Linked DNA regions of Macaca mulatta. The protein of the gene in region 1 interacts with the protein of each later gene in a biochemical or structural test. Links are inferred from orthologs where the notes say so. Each region holds a gene or a part of one and is shown in the gene's direction. Other genes may lie near its edges. The genes, in order: SNTA1, WWTR1, ADRA1D, CYSLTR2, KCNJ4 and SCN5A.

Region 1 (4,033 bases):
ACAGGTGTGAGCCACTGTGCCCAGCTGGGGGTGCTCTTAGCTACTCCAGGAGGCTAATGTAAAGATGAGATAACACATGGAAAATACTCTGCTAGCCCTAGCTAAGAGTAAGCAGTCACTAAATGAAAGTGATTATAGCATAGAGTCACAGTTTACCACGTGTTTTCACATTGATTTAATCCTCACACCAGCCCAGTGAAGTAGGTATTATTATGATCCACATTTTACAGATGAGGAAATTGAGGCCTAGAGCAGTAACGTGAGGGGACCAAGGTCGACTTGGAGCTAACACAGGCAGCAAGGATTAGAAACCAGGTCTCCAGAGGCCCAGACCCAGAGCCCCACCTTGCAGCCTTCTTCCCCCACACTAGGAGTTCTGGGTTTTTCTGCCAGGCCTCAAAGTGTGGGACTTCAGGCTTTTCTATACTTGACTGCGAACACAGCCAGGGATTAATCTCTTAAACTTCCCTCCAGTTTTGAAGTGGGGATCCTGCCCACCCCCTCCCCAAGCCCTAAGTGGAGTCGGCAGCTCTCTCCTCCGGGGGCGGGGCCTGTCCTCTTTAGAAGCCACGCCAACGATAAGCCACGCCCACAGACCAAAGCCTCGACCACCTGATGGGAAACCAGCTTCTTCCTCAGCTCCCCAACTAGCAACTCTGCCTGCAAGGTCTCTCGCGGCTCAGCGTCCACCTTTCTGTTTTTTTGACACAGGGTTTCGCTCTGTCACCCAGGCTGGAGTGCAGTGGCGCGATCGCGGCTTACTGAAGCCTCGAGCCTCTGGGCTGTCATCTAGGCCTCCCAAGGTGTTGGGATTACAGGCGTGAGCAACCACGCCTGGCCGGTGTCTACCTCTTAAACTCAAGCCCTGGAGCCCAGACCACCATACGCAGCCCAGTCCTCCGCCATATGCAGCCCAGCCCGTTGCCCAGTGCTTCGCACCAGGATACGTGGTTCTGTTTTTTTTTCATGCGCTCCCACGTCCGGGAGCTACAGTCCCGGCCCTCGATGGACATGCCGAGCGCAGAGCCCACTGCGCGGGCTGATTGGGTTCCGCCCACGACGCGAAGCCCCGCCCCCCGACGCCCCGCCCAGCACCGCGCCTCCCGGGCTTTTCGCCTTGCCTAGTGGTCCCGCCACGCCGCCCTTCTGACTCGCCCTCTAGGTAGTCTCACACTGCGGCCCTCGGCTCCCGGGCCCCGCCCCGGCCTCCCGCATTTGCCCGAGGCCCAGTCCCCAGCACTGGTCACACCCCCGGGTAGCCCCGCCCCTAGATCGCCTCCCCCAGCGGCCCGGGTAGGGTGGCGGCTGGCCCAGCGGGGCCCCCGCTGCCCTCTGCCCTGGGAGCTTGGTCGGAGCGGGCTGGGCACGGCGGGACAGGGCAAGCGCGGCGTCCCGGGGTCTCGGAGGCGAAGATGGCGTCCGGCAGGCGCGCCCCGCGCACCGGGCTGCTGGAGCTGCGCGCCGGGGCGGGCTCGGGGACCGGCGGGGAGCGGTGGCAGCGGGTGCTGCTGAGTCTGGCGGAGGACGTGCTGACCGTGAGCCCCGCCGACGGCGACCCTGGTCCCGAGTCCGGCGCTCCGCGGGAGCCGGAGCCCGCGCAGCTCAACGGCGCCGCAGAGCCGGGCGCGAGGGCCCCGCAGCTGCCAGAGGCGCTACTGCTCCAGCGGCGCCGCGTGACGGTGCGCAAGGCCGACGCCGGTGGGCTGGGCATCAGCATCAAAGGTGGGCGCGGGACACCGAGGGCGCGGGGTCGTGGTGTCTGGGGGCCGCCGAGGGAGCAAGGGACTGGCAGCGCGCCCAGGACATGGAGCTGGAGGCCTCCTGTCCGGGGGTAAGGGAGGTCTGAGGAAACAGGTAACGGAGGGCACTGGGCGCACCAAGGTCGGAGTGGGTTTCGGTAGTTGGTGGCCTTAGGGGGCACGGAAGACACAGGTGTGGAGGAGATTGTGGGAGCACCAAGGACACGTGGGTGGGAGTTCTGTGTGGAGGTGTGGGGGTCTGAGAGGCAACCAGCATGAACATCAAGGACAAGAGGGGTCCCCCGGAAAGCAGAGGGTGGAGAAAGGGGGTTGAGGCCGGGATACTAGTGGGACAGGGAAGAGGGAGTCCCTGAGAAGCAACCAAGGTGGGTACAGAGGGGAGGCCTGCAGTCTGCGAAGCACAGGGGTGGATAGGAGGCCTGGGTGCAGGCACAGACTGGGGTCACAGGCAGAAGGCCAGCAAGGACCTAGGAATCTAAGGACCCAGGAAGGCTGCGGGGAGCCCTGACAGCTGGATTTGGGTCTCCTGATCTGACCATCTCCACCTTGCACAGGATGGAGCTTTCAGTCCCCAGGACTGACTGCTAGTGGGGTGCAGTTAGGGTGCAACCAGACTGTGTTTGAATCGAGGATCAGCTGTGTGAGGTTGCAAAAGTCCCGTCCCGTCTCTGAATCTCAGTTGCCTCAATTGTATAAGAGGATGATAGAGTTGTGATGTTTCTGAGAGCAGGGCTCACCACACCAGCACATTGTAGGTGCCTTAGTTAATTACTGCTGTTAGCGGAGAGGAAAAATGGAGGCCAGGAGATACTCCCAAAGCAGCTAAACATAGTTCTCAAAATCCTTGCACACCCCCAGCTGCTGGGTTCACTATGCTTGCCCATCGGCTTCTCAGGATCCCAGCCCCTAGCAGGGTGCTTTGGGAAAGGGTGTCAGCCTTTGTTTCCACCTTGAATATGTACCGTACCCTCTGGGGTCTCCCTGGTACTGGTTCTGTTGATGAGTGCCTCCAGACTGTTTGGCTTGGCTGAGGTGGTGCAGATAGTGGTGAATGCCACCACTGTGTGCCAGGTGCTGTGCCCAGGACACTAGTCTCATGATCCACTTCATCCTGGCAACAAGTGGTGAAAGGTAGGGAGTATAATCCCCATATTGCAGATGGAGAAACTGAGACTCAGAAAGGTAAAATGATTTTCCCACCATTACACAGTGAGTGTCAGCGCTGGGATTTGAACCTTAGTTATCAGCTACTGTCCCCCAGAGAGTGCTCAGGGAAGTTGATTCTTTTCCTGTAGAAGGGCAGATCCCCAGGCACCCAACCAAGAGAGGCTAAAAAGGGGAAATGGGAAAATGAGGGTATGGGCACCAGTCTTACCCTCAATCTCCAGCATGGGATAGGGCAACAGACCAATCCAAAAATTATACACTCAGTGTGTCAGAGCAGGAAGGAACTTATTCATACAGAGTTCCATTCTGCAGATGGACGCACTGAGACTCAGAAAGGATCAGGGACTTTCCAGGGTCACACAAAGTTACTCCCCAGCTCCATACTTCTAGGTGGAGGGGAAGGTACTTTTAGGAGACTTCAGGTATTTCCACTGGATCCAAATCTGGGCTCCTGTTGCCATGGTAACCCCTCCTATAGAGTCTAGCTTAGTCTGAGGCAGCCATGAGTGATCATAGCTTCAAACTGAACTGAAGCCCCTAGTTTCAGGTGGGGGAGGGCAGATATAAATAGAAACCCCTTCCTCTCCTAGACTTCAAGCTCTGTGCAGATAAGCAAACGGTGGGGCCTGCGTGGGTGTCAAGAGAGGTGTTCCAGTCCCAGCTCCGCCAGCAGCTTGTGTGACCTTGGAACAATGACCTCCCACTCTGGGACACTAATTCTTCATCTTCAGTATTCTGGGGATGAGCCAGGAGTGTGATATCTGAGGGCCTGACTTGCCGTCTGTGGTAGGGTTAATAGTGTTGGTTCTTGAGCCTGGAGGCCTAGGTGCAAATACTGGCTTGCTTTGCTACTTACTAGTTGAGTGACCTTGGACAAGGGGCTTCCCTCCACACTTCAGTGTCTGTAATAGGAAACTGAGCATGCCTACGTGATGGGATATTGTAAAGACGCAATGTTGGCATTTGGTACATGCAACTAAGGTGACCTATTATTACTATTTCTTATTTTAAAAGGGCATTTAAGAGTTTGGTAATAAAGCCGTTTAGTAAAATGTATTAGCTTCTTTTGTATCCAAGATGCCATTCAGGTAGGTTTTTAGAATCGC
Region 2 (4,235 bases), on another chromosome or scaffold:
GCGGAGGTTGCGGTGAGCCGAGATAGAGCTATTGCACTAAAGCCTGGGGGACAAGAGCGAGACTTCCCTCAAAAAAAAAAAAAAAAAAAAAAAAAAAAAGAAAGAAAGAAAGAAAGAAAGAAAGAAAAATTAAGGCACAGTACGTGAACTTGAAGAACATACAGTTCTGTTTTAACACTTATGTAATCAGCCCGGTGCTGTGAGAAGTGCTTTACATTGTCTCATTTGATTTACTTAATAAACTCCTATTTGAATCAAATGGAGTGGGGTAGGGGTTTCCTGGAATTTGGCTTACCTCGCCATCTCCCCCCACCCTTTCCCTTCAGTGGAAAGGGAACCAGAGAGAAAAGAAATTGAGCTGCTCTGAAGGGCAAGGCCTCCTCCCACTTCCCGCAGCTGTTTCGCCAGGCTTGACCTTCTTCCCTTAGCTAGAGGCAGGGGGTCTCCACCCCTCGCCCAGATCTAGTCGGTGGGAAGGTGGGTGGCTTTTTTCGGGTCATTGGCGCACCCTCCCTACTCCTAGCCACCTGCTCGGGTTCCATCCCAGCTCCAGGCTCCCTGGAGGGCGGCAGGGACATTCCAATCCTCCCACAACCCTCACGGATGTTGCGGGGGAGGGGGGCGCAACTGCTCTTCTCTTCCAGCACCCAGCTTTGACCCGGTTTCTTCTCAATCCCTAGTGGCCTGAGTCACCCCCGTAGAGGAAATTAAGGATTGATGAATGGTTTGAAAGTTGTTTGTTTACAACCCACCCGTTGGCGAAGCCGCATCTCCAGTGACAGAGGCACTTTCTGGGCACCGTCTGTGCTCTAGCAGACAATTGAGAGCCAGGCAGCCAAGATGCCTCCTCGCCAGACCAAATATGGTCACAAGAGCTAAGCAGCCTCTCGTGGAAAGGCTGGCCTTGTTGGAGTCTCCCCACGCCGGGGCGCACCCGGGCCGGCCTTCGGGCAGAATCGCTGGTCAGCGCGGCGCTCCGGGTGCTGCCGGCCTCGGCGTCTGGCTGCAGGGGAGGGCGCGGTGTCCAGGACCGGCCCTTCCTAGGCCTGAGCCCCTCATCCGCTTGCCCTCCGCCACCCCCGGCCTTGGTTTCGGTCCACAAGCCCTTGATGAAACAGGCTCAGGCCACTTTCCCTTTGATCCCGCCCCAAGTCCGTGGTAAACTCAAAGGAACGCAGATGCAGGGCTCCGCGGGAGAGGTCCGCGTGGCCGGGAGCAGTGGGTGGGGGGCACCCGTCTCCTCTTACCCAGTAAAGTACCCATCACGCCCAGGGTTTTCTGGAGCCGGAGTGGGAGGAGGAGGAGGAGGAAGAGGAGGGGCGAGCGGGGGCCGGCCGGCTCGGGACTAGGAGGTCATACATAATTCAACAGCTCAACTTTCGGGCCCGCCTCTTTCCTGGGGGTGGGAGTTTGCTCCAAACTTTGTTTATGGGACAGTCCGGGAGCTGCTGCGGCCGCGCTGTCTGCTTCTCCTGCGCCTCCTTTTCGCCCAGCGCGAGCTCCTTAGGCCAGCTCGGGGGATGTGAGAGCCGAAGCCCCTAGACTGCCAGGCACCGAGTCGGGTCAGGATTTGTCAGCCAAGCCTCGGCTCCAGCTCCGCAATCTCGGGACTCACCCGAGCGACCCAGGCCCGACGGCAAGTTCGGGCGGGACGGCGGCCGCCTCGCTCTCAGGCTCAGCTTCGCTGCCCGCCCAGGTAGTGCCCGCTGGAGCTCGCGCGCTCACCCGGCACCACTCCAGGGCTCCAGGCTCCCCAGGCTTCCGGAGTCGAGACGTGGTGGAGTTGGCTCGGGCTGAACTTCTTTCGGGGGGCTGCCTGTCCGGGAAAGCTGCGACCTTTCCTTTGCCATCCTGCGGTTCAGCAAGCCTCGAGTGCAGTTACTCCCTCCACCCCTCGCCCTTCCTTCTCCTCCTCCCGGCAACTTCTTTGCTTCAAGAAAGTTGCATAATTCTCGAGGCCAGGAGGGACCCCTCCCCCATCCTGCTGGTCTCACCGCTGAGTGTCTGGGATCTCCAGGCGGGCAATTATCTGTCTCCTCGTTTCCTTTTCCCTCTATTCTTCCTCCCACCATCTCGCCCTCTCACCCTATAACCCTTTTACCCACTTCCTCCGACTTTAAATAAAAGACTGATCTGACCTTCTTTTTGCAGAAGATGAATCCGGCCTCGGCGCCCCCTCCGCTCCCGCCGCCTGGGCAGCAAGTGATCCACGTCACGCAGGACCTAGACACAGACCTCGAAGCCCTCTTCAACTCTGTCATGAACCCGAAGCCTAGCTCGTGGCGGAAGAAGATCCTGCCGGAGTCTTTCTTCAAGGAGCCTGATTCGGGCTCGCACTCGCGCCAGTCCAGCACCGACTCTTCGGGCGGCCACCCGGGGCCTCGACTGGCTGGGGGTGCCCAGCATGTCCGCTCGCACTCGTCGCCCGCGTCCCTGCAGCTGGGCACCGGCGCGGGTGCTGCGGGTAGCCCCGCGCAGCAGCACGCGCACCTCCGCCAGCAGTCCTACGACGTGACCGACGAGCTGCCGCTGCCCCCGGGCTGGGAGATGACCTTCACGGCCACTGGCCAGAGATACTTCCTGAAGTAAGTCAACTTGGAGCCGAAGACGGCACCAAGGCACAGTGCCCAACGCGCGCGTGTGTTCGTGTGTGTATGTGTGTGTGACACACACACAGAGAGAGAGAGATGGTGTGTGTCCTTCCACGGTTATTTCACAGATATGGAGAGCTGGAAGCAGGGAGTGAGTCTCTGGGTGTTGGAATTGTAGGGATCAGAAGCGGAGGAGAGTGTGGTGAAGTTCATCCACCATAAAACACACAGGTGACTTTGCTCTGAATCTGCAGGATTGAAGCCAACTCCTGGGCACAGACCCTTAGTCCCTTCCTTGGCCACTCTGAGTCAGATAGTCCAGAGCCAGGCCCTTTGGGATGTGACACCAAGATAAATGAGAGAAAAGCTGTGAAGCTTGAGGAACAGAGGGACTTTTGGTGAAGTAGGTGGTCTGCAGGTTCTGTCTTCTTGGGAAAAGCAAGCTGGAAAAGTGAACAGTGGCTGGTAGGCCGTAGTGCTCCCAGCTGGGTGACATAATGACCACACAGCACAGTGATGTAATTAGCAACTGTGTGGTGAAGTAGCTGTGGGCTGGACAAATCAATCGTGTGGAAATTGTGTCAGGAGTTTTATTACATTAAACTTGTTAACCTAAAATACCATCAAATCACAAGCCTGCTCTTCTTCCTTTCACATTGTTCCAGCTTTTTGATGTCATGAATTTTACATTAGTTCAAATTATCACATTACACCCCACAGGAAAATATATTCTCAAACACTAGAGGAGATTGTTTCAATTGCGGTACCCTAAGATAACTACATTCTTCAGGAGAAACCAAGCTGGAACTTGAAATGTTCCATCGAGGTCATAGGGTCAGACTATCAAAGATGGAGGTTGTGCCAGCCTGACCACTTGGTTCAGGATTGCCTGCACTGCCAGTGAGGGAAACTCCTCTCCTAAAAAACTGACTTAGATTTCATTTTAAAGCCTATATTTCTTTAGTAGAGTAGCCTTAGTTCAAAAGACTATGTACAATTTTAAAACTTTAATCAAGCCTTTCTTTGGCACTAATATTTGATGCTTTGATTGCTATGAGAGAGCTTTAAGAATGCATACACAGTGATGGATGAAGTTTACTATAGTGAACCCTTTGACTCATACCAGTGACCAATTCCTATTCCTTCCCCATCTCAAGGCTGTTAGTATCTTGTTCAAGGAGTTCTTTTTGTGTTTCTGAGGTTGGTATAATGCTGAGATTCTGAAACAGACTTGATGGTCATTTATGCCACGGCTGGTCTTCTCTGGGTTATTGAGTGATAGTTTGTACATGTGCTCAGTCCTTTGACTTCTAAGTAGCGGGTGGAGTCAAGTATGTGATGTAATAACATGACTTTTTTTTTTTTTTTTGAGACAAAGTCTCACTCTGTCACCCACGCTGTAGTGCAGTGGGACAATCTTGGCTCACTTGCAACCTTCGCCTCCCGGGTTCAAGCAATTCCCCTGCCTCAGCCTCCCGAGTAGCTGGGATTACAGGCACCCACCACCATGCCTGGCTAATTTTTGTATTTTTAGTAGAGTGGAGGTTTCACCATGTTAGCCAGGCTGGTCTCGAACTCCTGACCTCAAGTGATCCGCCTGCCTCATCCTCCTAAAGTGCTGGCATTACAAGCTTGAGCCACCTT
Region 3 (4,297 bases), about 6.4 Mb from region 1:
AAAACCAAAATAAAAGATTTAATGGGGAAGGCCATGGAAGAGCTGTTTCCAAGATATGATTATAAAAGCTTTATCTTCCTGGACTGGGCAATGGAGAGGAGGGAGGTCACCCATCTCTCAACATTTCTCCAGTTTTTTACTTTTTCTCCAAAGCAGCTTCTCATCTAAAACTCAGACATCCTGCCCCTGTGTTAACCACAACCAGTGGACACTAGGGCTATGGGTTCTCTGTCCCCTCCCAGACACTTCTGCAAACAGGCCCTCATCTCCCTGGTAGGGCTCAAGCCCTCCTCATTCTGCAACTATGAGATGGCATTACCCTCCTTACAGTTAGTGTATCCAGCATGGTGCCTGCCATGTGCCAGCAGCTGGTATTTTTATGTTGGCTAACTGTATGATTTCTTTGAGCCTCTCCCTACCCAGTCCTGCTGCTGCTCAAGAAGCTTCTCATACCCTCTCCCACACCTGCATCCGGAGTCCATACCAGCCCCACACCTCCTCTGCCTTCCATCCTCCCTGTTAAAAGCCTGCCCTGAACAAGCCCTACTCCGCTGACATACCCAAGCACTTCTCTGGGGCCCTCACCCATATTTACTCAGTTAACCCTCAGGCCAGGAGGTAGACATCACTTCTTATTCTCATTTTACAGATGAGGAACTGTGGCACAAAGAGGTCTCACAGTTAATATGGGGCGGAGCCTGGATTCAGATGCGGAGCCAGACTGTCTCACACCCGCCCCATTTAACCATCCTGCCAAGTGCCCTTTCCCACCCTCCGGCACTTACACCCTCCCTCTTAACAAGGCCAGAACAAGAACAAGGCCCCTTATTTAGGGTAGGTAGCTACAGAAAGATTTATTCCCGCATCTGATACAGAGAAAAGTAACAGTGTATGTAGACCAGCGTGTCTTGGGCAGGGTCCGAGGGCTGTAGCCACAGCATCCTGCTCCTGAGCCCATCGTACCCAGCCTCAGCCCAGAACAGGTTTCCAACCCTTCCTGGGCGCTCTTCACGACATCGCACTGGGCAGAGGTGTCTGAAACCCTGCCCTGGCCAGTGGCCTGAGAAAAAGGAGGTGCGGCAGATCCATATGGGCAGTCCCAGGAGGCAACCCGCAGCGGCACTGCGCCGTCCGGTCCGCAGTCCCCAGATCCCAGGCGCTTGCTGCTCTCTGGCGGCCAAAGCCGGTATCCCGAAGACCCGGGACTCGCGCCTTCAACGCACCGCGCGCCCAAGGGCACCAGCGAGTGACCGAGAGACTCGGGGGAGAGGGCGGGAGAAACAGGGACGCCGCTGAGGACCAAGGGGGAGGGGGTCCGGGAGAGGAGCGGGAAGGAAAGCAAAGGGCACCGCGAGGGGAGAGGGCGGGCTTGGGCACTTGCGGACAGGCGTGGGTGGCTGCTGCGGGACCCGAGCACGCGCCAGCGCCGCAGCCCCCCTAGACCCCGACACACTCGCTTGTCCTGAGCGAAGGGTCCCTTCTCCCCTGGGGTGTGGCGCCCCTCTCTCGGCCCGGGTCGCCCCCTCCTCCTTCCTGGCGCTGCCCCTCCTCGGTCCCGCCCCCCGCGCCGAGTTGGGAGCGCCGCAGTGGCCGCTGCCTGCACCGCCCGGCCCCGGAGCCGCCGCTTTGCCCGCTTGCTGGGCACGATCAGAGCGCCGCGCGCGTCGCCAGCCCCGGCTCTTCGGTGCTAGTCCACTGCCGGCCTCGGGGAGCCCGGCCGCCGCCCGGGCCAGGCAGCTCCGCTCTCGGACAGCCGCGCTCCGCGTCACAGGAACTTAGGCAGGACCCCAACAAGACCGTGCGGAGCTGCATCTGGAGCCCCGCGGCTATGCCCTGTGCTTCCCTCCCTGCCGGCCGCTCGTTCTGCGTCCCGGCCCGGCCACCGACGGCCGCGCGTTGAGATGACTTTCCGCGATCTCCTGAGCGTCAGTTTCGAGGGACCCCGCCCGGACAGCAGCGCAGGGGGCTCCAGCGCGGGCGGCGGCGGGGGCAGCGCGGGCGGCGCGGCCCCCTCGGAGGGCCCGGCGGTGGGCGGCGTGCCGGGGGGCGCGGGCGGCGGTGGCGGCGTGGTTGGCGCAGGCAGCGGCGAGGACAACCGGAGCTCCGCGGGGGAGCCGGGGAGCGCTGGCCCGGGCAGCGACGTGAATGGCACGGCGGCCGTCGGGGGACTGGTGGTGAGCGCGCAGGGCGTGGGTGTGGGCGTCTTCCTGGCAGCCTTCATCCTTATGGCCGTGGCAGGTAACTTGCTTGTCATCCTCTCAGTGGCCTGCAACCGACACCTGCAGACTGTCACCAACTATTTCATCGTGAACCTGGCCGTGGCCGACCTGCTGCTGAGTGCCACGGTACTGCCCTTCTCGGCCACCATGGAGGTTCTGGGCTTCTGGGCCTTTGGCCGGGCCTTCTGCGACGTGTGGGCCGCCGTGGACGTGCTGTGCTGCACGGCCTCCATCCTCAGCCTCTGCACCATCTCCGTGGACCGGTACGTGGGCGTGCGCCACTCACTCAAGTACCCAGCCATCATGACCGAGCGCAAGGCGGCCGCCATCCTGGCACTGCTTTGGGTCGTAGCCCTGGTGGTGTCCGTAGGGCCCTTGCTGGGCTGGAAGGAGCCCGTGCCCCCTGACGAGCGCTTTTGCGGTATCACCGAGGAGGCGGGCTACGCTGTCTTCTCCTCTGTGTGCTCCTTCTACCTGCCCATGGCGGTCATCGTGGTCATGTATTGCCGCGTGTACGTGGTCGCGCGCAGCACCACGCGCAGCCTCGAGGCGGGCGTCAAGCGCGAGCGAGGCAAGGCCTCCGAGGTGGTGCTGCGCATCCACTGTCGTGGCGCGGCCACGGGCGCCGACGGGGCGCACGGCCTGCGCAGCGCCAAGGGCCACACCTTCCGCAGCTCGCTCTCCGTGCGCCTGCTCAAGTTCTCCCGTGAGAAGAAAGCGGCCAAGACGCTGGCCATCGTCGTGGGCGTCTTCGTGCTCTGCTGGTTCCCTTTCTTCTTTGTCCTGCCGCTCGGTGAGTGACCCCTCTCCCACCGGCCCCTCCTGTTCTCCCTGAGCCTATGGCGGTGTCCTCGTGGCACCCAGACTTGGGCGACCCCCACCTGAACCTGGAAAGTTGGCTTAGCAAGTCCTGAGTCTCCTAAGAGGCAGGTGTGCATGCACCATTTTGTGGAGTGCCAAAGAGAGGGTCTTCATCCTCGCCAGGTTTGTTTCACAGGCTTCTAACTTTTCTGTCCTTCCCTTCTTCTCTTCCAAGCCTTGGGCTTATGCTGCTGGCCCCTCTAAAAATAAAACGTCTGTGAAAATCTGGGCAGGCATCTGCCCATATGTGGTCGGCAGTGTGTGTGTCCCCCTACAGATCCCCCTCCCTGGAGGTGGGTGCACAGAGTGGGTGGGCCTCCATGTGTTCATTCACGGGCAGCGAGCCCTGGCCAGTCAACAGGTACGTTAGCAGATGCCAGAAGCCACCCGCTTTTCCCCAGCACTCATTCAGTTTGGAAGCTGGCCCCATTTTGAGACCCTCCCCAGCTGTGTTTTTGAGTGCCCTGGGCTCTCATTTCTGAAATCCCCTCTTGGAAAGGAAGGAGGTTGTGTAGCGATGAGAAGCACAGGGATAGGGATAAATTATCAAACGGAAAGTTCATATTGTTAATCGTTATTTCTTGAGCTTACTGAGTCCTTGAGCTCTTCCGGGGAACTTTCCTGCTTCTTTCACAAGCTGCCCTGCAGTCCTGGGAGGTGGGCAGCTGTTTTCAGAGGCCGCCTTCTACCCCTTGAGGCCTCTCTTGGAAGCCCCGGGTCTGGGACTGGAGGCTGGACCAGTGCAAGGAGTAGAGGGGGAAGAGCATCTCTGGGGACAAATTTGCCGGGAGTCAGATCCACCCATGGCTGCAACCTCCGCAGGCCCAAGCTGGGCCTTCTCTGCCTTTCCCAGGCCTGGACCCTTCCACACTGCCAGGCTGAGTCAGGAAAGAGACAATGGCCTCCTTCCTGTGCCCCCGAAAGCCCTTTCCACACTGCAGCCACAGTGAACTTTATATATTATAAATTAGATGTGTCACTCTCCTATTAAAAGCCCTCAGTGCTTTCCCACTGTCCTGAGAACAAAATCCAAACTCTCTATCATCACCTATGAGAGGGTGACCTTCAAATGCATTGTTGTCCAAACCAAAATAGGACACTATGAATATTTACACCGGGACCACAGGCTAGAACTGGAGCCATGCAGACATGTGGTCCCCCTTCCTACAATGGAGATCTCAAATGAGAGCTGTCTCCCTCTCTGCCCTCTCCCCCTC
Region 4 (3,500 bases), on another chromosome or scaffold:
TCAAATTATCTACTTAATGTTGAGTGAGTTATTTTTCATTTTATGAGGAATTAGTCTAGTTCCTCTAAGTTGTGAAATTTATGTTTGTAGGGTTATTCAAAGTTTTTCTCATTATTCTTTTGATGCCTCAGGTATCTATTGATAGTGTTATCTCCTGTTTTATTCCTGACAATGGAAATTTATGTCTGTTCTATTTTTTTTTGTACCTCTTGCTAAAGATTTGTCAGGAGATGTAATATTTTATTTAATATATGCAATTTTTAGTTCATTATTGTCTTCATCTGTTCTGCTACTATAAGAAAGTTACCTGGCCAGGCATGGTGGCTCACGCCTGTAATCTCACACTTTGAAGGCCAAGGTGGTAGGATCACTTGAGCTCAGGAGTTCAAGACCAACCTGTGCAACATGGAGAGACAGCATCTCTACAAAAAAGAAAAATAGCTGGGCATGGTGGCATGCACCTGTAATCAATTGTATTGATTGTTTTCAAATAACCAGTTTTTCATTTCATTTTTTCCCTATTTTTTTCTGTTTTCTATTTCTTGATTTCTGCTCTTTACTATTTCCTTCCTTTTGCTTGCTTTTTTCTTCTTGAGGATGGAGCTTATATTCTTATTTCGTGACTTTTCCTTTTTGTAATGTATGCATTCAGTGTTATACAGTTTTGTCCTAATACTGCATTTGCTACATCTTACAAATTTATATTTTCACTTTTATTCAGTTCAATATATTTTTTGTTTCCCTTGAGACTTCCTCTTTGACCCATGGATTATTTAGAAGTGTGTTGTTTAGTTTTCAAGTGTTTTGAGGGTTTCCTGTTATCTTTCTGCTGCTGATTTCTAGTTTGATTCCCTTGTGGTTAGAAAACACATTCTATATTATTTCAATTATTTGAAATCTATCGAGGCTTGTTTTATGTCCCAGGATGTGGTTTATCTTGGTATGCGTTTTGTGAACACTTAAAAGCTTAAGTATTTTGCTCTTGTTGGGTGAAGTGTTTTATACATGTCAATTTGATCCTGTTTGTTGATGGTGTTTTTAGTTTTTCTATACCTTTGTTGAGTTTTTGTCTATTTGCTTCATCAATTGCTGAGAGAGGTCCTTGAAGTCACCAAGTATCTCTCCTTTCAGTTTTATCAGTTTTGCTTCAGTTTTGCCACTCTGTTGTTTGGTGCATACCCATTTAGAATTGGTATGTCTTCTTAGTGGTTAAACCCTGTTATTATTATATAGTGTCCCTCACTGTCTCTGGCAATGTCCTTTGCTTTGAAGTCCATTTTATTTGATACTAAAAGAGCTATCCCTTATTTCCTTTGATTTGAATAGCAAGCATTTTTCCATCCTTTTACTTTCAACCAGCCAATACTGCTATTTGAAGTGTTTGTTGTAGGCAGTACATAATTGGGTCATTTAAAAAATATATTCCATTCCTCTATCTTTTACTTGGTATATTTAGATTACTTATATTTAATGTAATTATTGATGAATCAGGGATGTCTGCCATTTTATTTTTTGTTTTCTGTTTTTATTGTCTCTCTTCTTTTTCCTGCCTTGTTGTTGGTTATCTGAATGCTTTTTAGAATTCCATTTTTATTTATCTGTAATGTTTTTGAGTGTATCCCTTTGTATATCATTTTAGTGGATGCTTTAGGTATTTTCTCTCTATATATATATATAAAGATATATATATGTATATATATAAAGATCTATATGTATATACATAGATATATATATATAAAGATATATAGGTGTATATATATCTTATGATAGTCTATTAGCATCATCATTCTACCAATTCAAGTGAAGTATAGAAAACTTATTTCCTCTTACATCTCTTTACCTTCCCTCATTTATAATATAATTGTCTTAATAATTCCTCTACATCCATTTAAAACCACATCAGGCAGCATTAACATTTTTATTTCAAAACATTAAATGTAACTTAGACTCTAAAAGAGAAGGACAGCCTATTGTATTTACACATATTTTGGCTTACCATGTTCTTTCTTATTTTCTAATATTCTAAGATTCCTTATTTTATGAATTCCTTTCTGCTTAGATAACTTCCTTTAGTCATTATTTGTTGTTGTTGTTGTTGTTGTTTTTAGATGGAGTTTCACTCTAGTTGCCCAAGCTGGAGTGCAATGGTATGATCTCAGCTCATTGCAACTTCTGCCTCCCAGATTCAAGCAATTCTCCTGCCTCAGCCTCCCATGTAGCTGGGATTACAGGCACCTGCCACTAGGCCCAGCTAATTTTTGTATTTTTAGTAGAGATGGAGTTTCACCATGTTGGCCAGACTGGTCTTGAACTCCTGACCTCAAGTGATCCACCAGCCTCAGCCTCCCAAAGTGCTGGAATTACAGATGTGAGCTACCATGCCCAGCCTGGTCATTCTTTTAAGATAGATCTGCTGACAACAAAGTCTCAGTTTTCTGTCTGAAAAAGTCTTGATTTTCTCTTTGTACTTGAAGGATGTTTTTGCTGGACGTAGAATGCTAGGTTGGCAGGTCTTTTCTTTCAGCATTTGAGAAATGTGCCATTTCCTTCTGTCCTCCACAGTTTCTGATGAGAAATCTGCTATTCAGTAGTTTTAGGCTGCAATATCACAGGGAGGTATTCATGTCAACATGGGCACCAGGTCACAAGTTCCCTAAGTTTGAAGTGTCAACTTCGACCAAACAAATTAATGGCTATTCTATATTCAAAAATCAGGAAGTTTAAATTTATTATGAAGTGTAATGCAGCATATATTAAAGACTTAACCAGCGTTTTAAAACTCAACTTTCAAAGAAAAGATAGTATTGCTCCCTGTTTCATTAAAACCTAGAGAGATGTAATCGGTAAGCAAGAAGGGAAAAGGGAAATTCACAAAGTAACTTTTTATGTCTGTTTCTTTTTAACCCAGCATGGAAAGAAAATTTATGTCCTTGCATCCATCCATCTCCGTATCAGAAATGGAACCAAATGGCACCTTCAGCAGTAACAACAACAGCAGAAACTGCACAATTGAAAACTTCAAGAGAGAATTTTTCCCAGTTGTATATCTGATAATATTTGTCTGGGGAGTCTTGGGAAATGGCTTGTCCATATATGTTTTCCTGCAGCCTTATAAGAAGTCCACATCTGTGAATGTTTTCATGCTAAATCTGGCCATTTCAGATCTCCTGTTCATAAGCACACTTCCCTTCAGGGCTGACTATTATCTTAGAGGCTCCGACTGGATATTTGGAGACCTGGCCTGCAGGATTATGTCTTATTCCTTGTATGTCAACATGTACAGCAGTATTTATTTCCTGACCGTGCTGAGTGTTGTGCGTTTCCTGGCAACTGTTCACCCCTTTCGGCTTCTGCATGTCACCAGCATCAGGAGTGCCTGGATCCTATGTGGGATCATATGGATCTTTACCATGGCTTCCTCAGTAATGCTCCTCAACAATGGCTCTGAGCAGAAGGGCAGTGTCATATCATGCTTAGAGCTGAATCTCTACACAATTACT
Region 5 (3,368 bases), about 73 Mb from region 1:
CCTCCGTGGCTCCCTATGCTCAGGGCAAGCAGGACAGAGGGACAGGGAGGAACTGAGATGGGCCTCAGGAAGCTTCCAGAACAGTGAGCATAGGAGGGCCGGAGGGGCAGTGTTGAGGGGCAGGGACTAGGACCTGGATCCTTGTGGCTTTAGCTTCCTGGTCTGTGGACCCCTATCTCTAAGCTGGGTCGGACTCAGGGGCACTGGCTCAGACCCTGTCATCAGAACCCCCTCCGTTGCCACCCTCCGCCTGCTGCGGCAGAGGAAGTCTTAGGTCCTGGTCCAGGCTCACCTGCTTCTGAGAGTCTAGGGGCTGAGTCTGGGTGGCCCTGAGGAGGCCCCTTGCTCCCCAGCATTTCACCTGTCTGGCTTCTCCTCCGCAGGCCCTGCGTCTTCCCAGGTGACCACGCCGGCTTCAGGACATGCACGGACACAGCCGCAACGGCCAGGCCCACGTGCCCCGGCGGAAACGCCGCAACCGCTTTGTCAAGAAGAACGGCCAATGCAATGTGTACTTCGCCAACCTGAGCAACAAGTCGCAGCGCTACATGGCGGACATCTTCACCACCTGCGTGGACACGCGCTGGCGCTACATGCTCATGATCTTCTCCGCGGCCTTCCTTGTTTCCTGGCTCTTTTTTGGCCTCCTCTTCTGGTGTATCGCCTTCTTCCACGGTGACCTGGAGGCCAGCCCAGGGGTGCCCGGGGCGGGCGGGCCGGCGGCGGGCAGTGGCGGGGCAGCCCCGGCGGCCCCCAAGCCCTGCATCATGCACGTGAACGGCTTCCTGGGTGCCTTCCTGTTCTCGGTGGAGACGCAGACGACCATCGGCTACGGGTTCCGGTGCGTGACGGAGGAGTGCCCACTGGCAGTCATCGCTGTGGTGGTCCAGTCCATCGTGGGCTGCGTCATCGACTCCTTCATGATCGGCACCATCATGGCCAAGATGGCGCGGCCCAAGAAGCGGGCACAGACGCTGCTGTTCAGCCACCATGCGGTCATCTCGGTGCGCGACGGCAAGCTCTGCCTCATGTGGCGCGTGGGTAACCTACGCAAGAGCCACATTGTGGAGGCCCACGTGCGGGCCCAGCTCATCAAGCCCTACATGACCCAGGAGGGTGAGTACCTGCCCCTGGACCAGCGGGACCTCAACGTGGGCTATGACATCGGCCTGGACCGCATCTTCCTGGTGTCGCCCATCATCATTGTCCACGAGATCGATGAGGACAGCCCGCTCTATGGCATGGGCAAGGAGGAGCTGGAGTCAGAGGACTTCGAGATCGTGGTCATCCTGGAGGGCATGGTGGAGGCCACGGCCATGACCACCCAGGCCCGCAGCTCCTACCTGGCCAGCGAGATCCTGTGGGGCCACCGCTTTGAGCCCGTGGTCTTTGAGGAGAAGAGCCACTACAAGGTGGACTACTCGCGTTTTCACAAGACCTACGAGGTGGCCGGCACACCCTGCTGCTCGGCCCGGGAGCTGCAGGAGAGTAAGATCACCGTGCTGCCCGCCCCGCCGCCCCCTCCCAGTGCCTTCTGCTATGAGAACGAGCTGGCCCTCATGAGCCAGGAGGAAGAGGAGATGGAGGAGGAGGCGGCTGCGGCGGCCGCAGTGGCCGCAGGCCTGGGCCTGGAGGCCGGCTCCAAGGAGGAGGCGGGCATCATCCGGATGCTGGAGTTCGGCAGCCACCTGGACCTGGAGCGCATGCAGGCTTCCCTCCCGCTGGACAACATCTCCTACCGCAGGGAGTCTGCTATCTGACCTCCAGGCCCGGCCCTCACCACTGCCCACAAGAGCCTCTGCCGGGGGTAGGATGCCAGGACACCCCCTCCCACACTCAGGACAGAGCCAACCGTGGCTCCGTGGACCTTCTGGAGGAAGGTGGGGGTTTCAAAGACTGGGGGACCCCTTCCTCCTGACTCCAGCACCCTGGCCTGGGAAGAGCTCGGCCCAATCAGCCTGGGTTCCCCCAGCACCTACTCCTGGTGGCTCTGGGTCCCCGGATCCACCACCCTTCCCCCACTGACTCTTCAAGGACGTGCCCTCTTTGCTCTCAGAACCTTGGGGAAGGTGACTGGACTGCTGGGTGGGAGACATCTCGGGGTTTCAGGGTGGGCAGGGGGTTAGTTTGGGGAGGGGGGTGCGTTTCTTTTGCATGACTGTGGCCTGTTGCTCATGACTTTCTTTTGTAAATATCTATAAATGGAGACAGATGGAGACACCAAATTCACCTTCTGCCGTTTTTACCTGCCAGACAAGGAGATATGGTCCCTCTCTGTGCACCCTTCCCCACCCTGCCCATCAAGCCTAGCCCCTTCCCCTGCCCAGCTGGCTGGCCCCTTGAGGCCTGCAAAGCCAGCCACCTTGGCCCTTGGATGGTGTTGAGTTTGGGTGCAGAGGAGGGACTCTGAGGGGTGGGATGAGGGAGCATCCCTCCCTCCCTGCAGTCCCTCCGGCCCCGGGGCCCAGCCCAGATTGACAATAGAGTTTGTAACTATATATATATATACACATTTGAGACGGAGTTTGTAACCATATATATATATTTGAGACGGAGTTTCGCTCTTGTTGCCCAGGCTGGAGTGTAACGGAGCAATCTCGGCTCACTGCAACCTCCGCCTCCCGGCTTCAAGCGATTTTCCTGCCTCAGCCTCCTGAGTAGCTGAGATTACAGGCATGACCCACCACACTCAGCTAATTTTTGTATTTTTAGTAAAGATGGGTTTCACCATGTTGGCCAGGCTGGTCTCGAACTCCTGACCTCAGGTGATTCACCCACCTTGGCCTCCCAAAGTGTTAGGATTATAAGCGTGAGTCACCGCACCCGGCCATAACTATATATTTTTAATAAAGTATATGGTCCATTGGGGTTGGCTGGTTGAAGATGGAGGGGTGAGAAGGAGAGACAGTGAGCAAGCACACATGTAATTGTGCCTGTGTGTCATGTGTGTGCCTGTGTAGTATGTGTGCCTATGTGTTAGGTGTGTGCCTGTGTGTGTCATGTGTGTGCCTGTGTAGTATGTGTGCCTGTGTGTTATGTGTGTGCCTGTGTAGTATGTGTGCCTGTGTGTGCCTGTGTGTTATGTGTGTGCCTGTGTGTTATGTGTGTGCCTGTGTGTTAGGTGTGTGCCTGTGTGTTATGTGTGTGCCTGTGTTATGTGTGTGCCTGTGTGTTAGGTGTGTGCCTGTGTAGTATGTGTGCCTGTATGTGCCTGTGTGTGTCATGTGTGTGCCTGTGTAGTATGTGTGCCTGTGTGTGCCTGTGTGTTAGGTGTGTGCCTGTGTAGTATGTGTGCCTGTGTGTTATGTGTGTGCCTGTGTAGTATGTGTGCCTGTGTGTGCCTGTGTGTTATGTGTGTGCCTGTGTGT
Region 6 (4,009 bases), on another chromosome or scaffold:
TGTAGTGATCTGTGGGCAAAAGCTGATGACCTGTTTTGTTTTGTTTGTGTTTTGTTTTTGTTGTTGTTGTTGTTGTTTTGAGAAGCAGCAAGATTTATTGTGAAGAGGGAAAGAACAAAGCTTCTACAGCGTGGAAGGGGACCCAAGCGGGTTGCCCTGATGGCCTGTTTTGTTTAAACAAGAAGTGTGTCCCCATAGGTCCTGGGCATGGGCGTGTGAGCAACTGTTTGTCAGCATATGTCTCCGTGTGTGTGTGCCTGTGACCATGTCTCTGAGTGAGAAACAGTTGGTGTGTGGGTATGTGACTCCAGGCACACATATACATACATATATGTGTGTATACATGTATATATGTGTGTGTGTGTTTGTGTGTGCGCGTGTGGGTGTCTCTGTGTTGGTTGCCTGCTTCCTTCTGGGTCTGGGTGTGTGTTTGGTTCTGTGAGCATGTGCGTCAGTATGTTCAGGTAGTGTGTACCGTTGTGCAGATTTCTGTGGCATCACTAAGTGTGTCTCCAGGAAAGTGTGGTTCGAGTGAGTGTGTGTGTCTCTGTGTCAGTGTGTCAGTGGATGTGTGTCTAAGTCATGTGGGTGTCTAAGTTTGTCAGAGTGTCTTCCTCAGTGTCAGTGTGTGTCAATGATGTGTCTGTCTGGGTCTGTGTGGGTGTGTGGGGGTGTGTATCTGTCTCAGGGTGCATGTGTGTGTCTGTGTCAGTGCAGGTATGCCTATGGCAGCGTGTGTCTGTCTCGGCATGAGTGTCAGTATACGCCCATGTCCACGTGGGTGGGTGGGTGTCTGATGTAGCCTTTCCAAGTCAGCAAGGTTGTGTGTGTGTGTGTGTGTGTGTGTGTGTGTGTGTGTGTGTACTCCGGCGTGTGCTGGTGTATATGCCAGTGTTTGTTAATGTGTGTCTGTCCGCGTCCGCGTGGGTGGCCATCTGTGGCAAAGCGTCCCCGGGTCGGCGTGTGTGTACCCCCGCCTGTGTCTGTCTGTCCGCGGCCGCGTGGGCGGTTGTCTGTGGCTGTGCGCCCCCGGGTCAGTGTGGGAGTGTGTACCCCGGCGGGAGCCGGTGTATCCCCCACCTCCGAGCGGGCGGAGCGCCACGTGCGGAGCCTCGGGCGCGTCGCTCTGGGGCGGAGCCAGCCCGGGGCCCCAAGCCCCAGGCCGAGCCCAGGCGGGGCCCGCCCCGACCCCGCCCCCGACCCCGCCCCCAACCCGAGCCCGCGCGCCGCCTGCCCAGCCCGGGAGCCCGAACCGAGCCGCGGAGCCGAGACGGCGGCGGCGCCCGTAGGATGCGGGGATCGCTCCCCCGGGGCCACTGAGCCTGCGCCCAGTGCCCCGAGCCCCGCGCCGAGCCGAGTCCGCGCCGAGCAGCAGCCGCCCACCCCGGGGCCGGGCCGGGGGACCAGCAGGTGAGCGAGCGCCCCCGCGCCCGGCAGCCCTGGCCCGGCCGGAGCCCCCTCCGCCTGCCGCCGCCCAACTTTCCTCCCCGAGGGCCGAAGCCTCCAGCCCCAGCGTGCTCCTCCCCTGCCCGGGTCCACCCAGCCGCTCCCTCCCCGATCAGTGCCCCAGAGAAACGGAGGGGGAGAAGGGGCGCAGATCCGCCCGGCTGGAGGGGATCCCCGGGGGAGACGTCTCTAATCACCGTGCGCCCCCCTTCCCTTCTCTTTCCTTCCGGGTTTCCCGGTGCGCTGTCGAGGGCCGGGGGAGGGGGAGCTGCGGCCCCAGCTTCCCGGTCATCCCTGGCGCAGGCTCGGGGAGGGTCTGGGATTGGGACCCGGATTCCGGAGGCCGGAGACCCCAAGGTCAGAGCGGCGACTGGGCGCGCAGTGAATGTGGTTTCAGAGAGCGGGAGCTGCGGGGGCTGACTGAGCAGGGCTGGATATGGGGGAGGAAGCCACGCACCCCCTTTCTCTGGGCCCAGGGGGAACCGTCCGCTGGGGCTGTCCTCTCTGTGGGACGAGATCTCTGCGCGCTTAGACCACGTAGAGATCTCGGTGCCCTTTGACGCCCTAAAGGGGCCACATCTCCTCTATCTGATCTCTGTGCTTCTCGAAGGGGTAGAGATCTCTGTGCGCTGAGATTGGAGAGAGTTCTCTGCCCCCCTCTCTCTGAGCCGGACAGATCCACGCACCCTGATGGGAGGTGGCTCTTGACCTCTGTGTTATTTGATCGTCTTTGGTGGCGCCCTGGAAGAAAGTAGAGGTGTCAAGCCTTGTCCGAGACGCCAAGGGCTGGTGGGGGCCAGAGGTGTGGGCACTGTTAGTGGTGGTGATGAGGATGGGGGGAAATGATGTTGGGGACAAGTCGCTGGCTGTAGGCCTGACTTGCAAACACCTGTTGGAGAGCAGCGCACAGCCAGATCAGGACGCCATGGCTAAGATAGTGCAGGACTCACTCTTGTGCTCCTTAGTGCCTTCAGCCGAGCCCCGGGCCATGGGATCTATCTCCTCTTAAGGTCCTGGGCCTATGTTCCATTCCCAGGCATCTGCTTGCCTCCTGCTGAGACCCCAGGTGTCTCTCCCAGTGAGCCTAGGCAGTATCATCCCGACAGTCACACCACGTGACCCCCACCATGCCATGGCATCCAAAGCCCTCTCCCAAGTTCCAACCATCCTTCAGGATCTAGTGGGACCCTGAGCAGCAGAGGCCCCAGCTACTGGGGGCCCAGGCCCTTGCCACTGCCCTCAACTCCATTCGGTTAGAATTGGGCAGGTGCACATGAATTGATGGTAATGAGTGAGAGGTGGAATGAGGGTGGTCAGGCTGCTGTCGCAGGAGCACGGAGAGGGTGAAGTCAGGCGACAGACAGCCAGGGTGTGGAACACAGCTTCTATGTTACAGTGTCCAACTCTGTGCTGAAAAGAGCCTCATTAAACTTTTAATCATATCATCACCACCATATTGTACAAGTGGGGATACTGAGGCCCAGAGGAGCTCAAGGACTTATTCAAAGTCATCTAGAGAATCAGTGGATTGGGGGCACCACTCAGTGTGAAGATACCTTGAGATCCTAGAACTGAGCCAGGAGGATCTGGGCAGAAGGGGAACTGGCCCTGGGGTGCCAAGAGCCAGCATTCAGCCCAATGCAGCATGGGCAGCTGCTGGGCTCTAAGGTGCTCAGCCCCCTCTCTGTGTGTTGATCAAAGCTCCCCTGGAAAAATTCTAGGATTGACTCACTTAGCATGAAGATTGGGCTCGGAGGACTGGTGGGAAGCACCAAGACAGCTGGGGATGGGGGAACAGCGGAGGCTGGTGCCCAGGCAATCCAAAGAGAAGGGAGTCCTGAGGGCAGCCAGGGACAGTGCCAAATTGCAGTCTGTGTTCTGTTCAGAGGAGGCTGGCTTCTGCTCACTCTTGGGAAGGTTATTGGAAGGGTGTGCAGTGATAGAAGTGTGTCCCCAGAGCCCACTCACAGGAGAGGTGGTTACCTTTGACTGGGATAGTCAAGAGTCTTATTCTAACAAAAATAACCTTCCACACTGGGTTTTGAAGGGTGAATAGGAGTTTTCCAGGCAAGGACAATGTAGTCTAGCTGTTAGGACCAGTGTGTACAAAAGCACAGAAATGTGAAACAGCACAATTATTAGTTGAGTGATTCGTTGGGCCCCATGGTGTGAGGAAGAGAAGAGCGGAGTTAAAGCCAAGGTCACAGTCACGGGGGCCCTTGTGAGCTCTGCTCAGGAATTGGGAATTTATCCTCAGTAATGTTACTAAAAATAGCTAACATTCACTGAGTGCTTTCTGCAGGCCAGGCATGGCACTAAGCGCTTTATAAGGTTAATCTCACTGAATCCTTGCATCAACCCTAGAGATAGGGACCATCATAATGGCCATTTTGCAGATGGTGAAACTGGGGGTCCAGAAAGGTTAAATAGTTGCATACCATCACATTTTCTAAGTAGCAGAACTTGGGTTTGAGCCCAAGTGTCAATATCTGCTGTGTACTCTACCACCTCCCCAGCTCAGACCATGGGTGCCATCTGAAGTCTTTCCATTGAAGGAGAGGTG

Evidence for each region.
Region 2: the proteins of SNTA1 (region 1) and WWTR1 interact in a test that uses a peptide from one of them, tested with the Homo sapiens proteins (2 studies listed by IntAct, with this or other methods). The link is inferred for Macaca mulatta from reciprocal best matches to the Homo sapiens genes SNTA1 and WWTR1.
Region 3: the proteins of SNTA1 (region 1) and ADRA1D interact in a test that uses a peptide from one of them, tested with the Homo sapiens proteins (2 studies listed by BioGRID and IntAct). The link is inferred for Macaca mulatta from reciprocal best matches to the Homo sapiens genes SNTA1 and ADRA1D.
Region 4: the proteins of SNTA1 (region 1) and CYSLTR2 interact in a test that uses a peptide from one of them, tested with the Homo sapiens proteins (2 studies listed by IntAct, with this or other methods). The link is inferred for Macaca mulatta from reciprocal best matches to the Homo sapiens genes SNTA1 and CYSLTR2.
Region 5: the proteins of SNTA1 (region 1) and KCNJ4 interact in a test that uses a peptide from one of them, tested with the Homo sapiens proteins (2 studies listed by BioGRID and IntAct). The link is inferred for Macaca mulatta from reciprocal best matches to the Homo sapiens genes SNTA1 and KCNJ4.
Region 6: the proteins of SNTA1 (region 1) and SCN5A interact in a test that uses a peptide from one of them, tested with the Homo sapiens proteins (2 studies listed by BioGRID and IntAct). The link is inferred for Macaca mulatta from reciprocal best matches to the Homo sapiens genes SNTA1 and SCN5A.

Annotation. Positions count from the first base shown.
Region 1 is NC_133415.1:86,197,626-86,201,658, reverse strand, and holds the start of SNTA1 (alpha-1-syntrophin), read left to right. Parts: upstream 1-1,233; 5' UTR 1,234-1,412; coding exon 1,413-1,722; intron 1,723-4,033. UniProt on the Homo sapiens protein: Adapter protein that binds to and probably organizes the subcellular localization of a variety of membrane proteins. May link various receptors to the actin cytoskeleton and the extracellular matrix via the dystrophin glycoprotein complex.
Region 2 is NC_133407.1:52,659,138-52,663,372, reverse strand, and holds the start of WWTR1 (WW domain-containing transcription regulator protein 1), read left to right. Parts: upstream 1-1,435; 5' UTR 1,436-1,696; exon of another isoform or gene 1,697-1,851; intron 1,852-2,151; 5' UTR 2,152-2,154; coding exon 2,155-2,585; intron 2,586-4,235. UniProt on the Homo sapiens protein: Transcriptional coactivator which acts as a downstream regulatory target in the Hippo signaling pathway that plays a pivotal role in organ size control and tumor suppression by restricting proliferation and promoting apoptosis.
Region 3 is NC_133415.1:79,802,511-79,806,807, forward strand, and holds the start of ADRA1D (alpha-1D adrenergic receptor), read left to right. Parts: upstream 1-1,497; 5' UTR 1,498-1,901; coding exon 1,902-3,012; intron 3,013-4,297. UniProt on the Homo sapiens protein: This alpha-adrenergic receptor mediates its effect through the influx of extracellular calcium.
Region 4 is NC_133422.1:27,896,351-27,899,850, forward strand, and holds part of CYSLTR2 (cysteinyl leukotriene receptor 2), read left to right. Parts: intron 1-2,908; coding exon 2,909-3,500. UniProt on the Homo sapiens protein: Receptor for cysteinyl leukotrienes. The response is mediated via a G-protein that activates a phosphatidylinositol-calcium second messenger system.
Region 5 is NC_133415.1:13,109,590-13,112,957, forward strand, and holds the end of KCNJ4 (inward rectifier potassium channel 4), read left to right. Parts: intron 1-383; 5' UTR 384-422; coding exon 423-1,760; 3' UTR 1,761-2,868; downstream 2,869-3,368. UniProt on the Homo sapiens protein: Inward rectifier potassium channels are characterized by a greater tendency to allow potassium to flow into the cell rather than out of it.
Region 6 is NC_133407.1:100,937,935-100,941,943, reverse strand, and holds the start of SCN5A (sodium channel protein type 5 subunit alpha), read left to right. Parts: upstream 1-1,209; 5' UTR 1,210-1,410; intron 1,411-4,009. UniProt on the Homo sapiens protein: Pore-forming subunit of Nav1.5, a voltage-gated sodium (Nav) channel that directly mediates the depolarizing phase of action potentials in excitable membranes.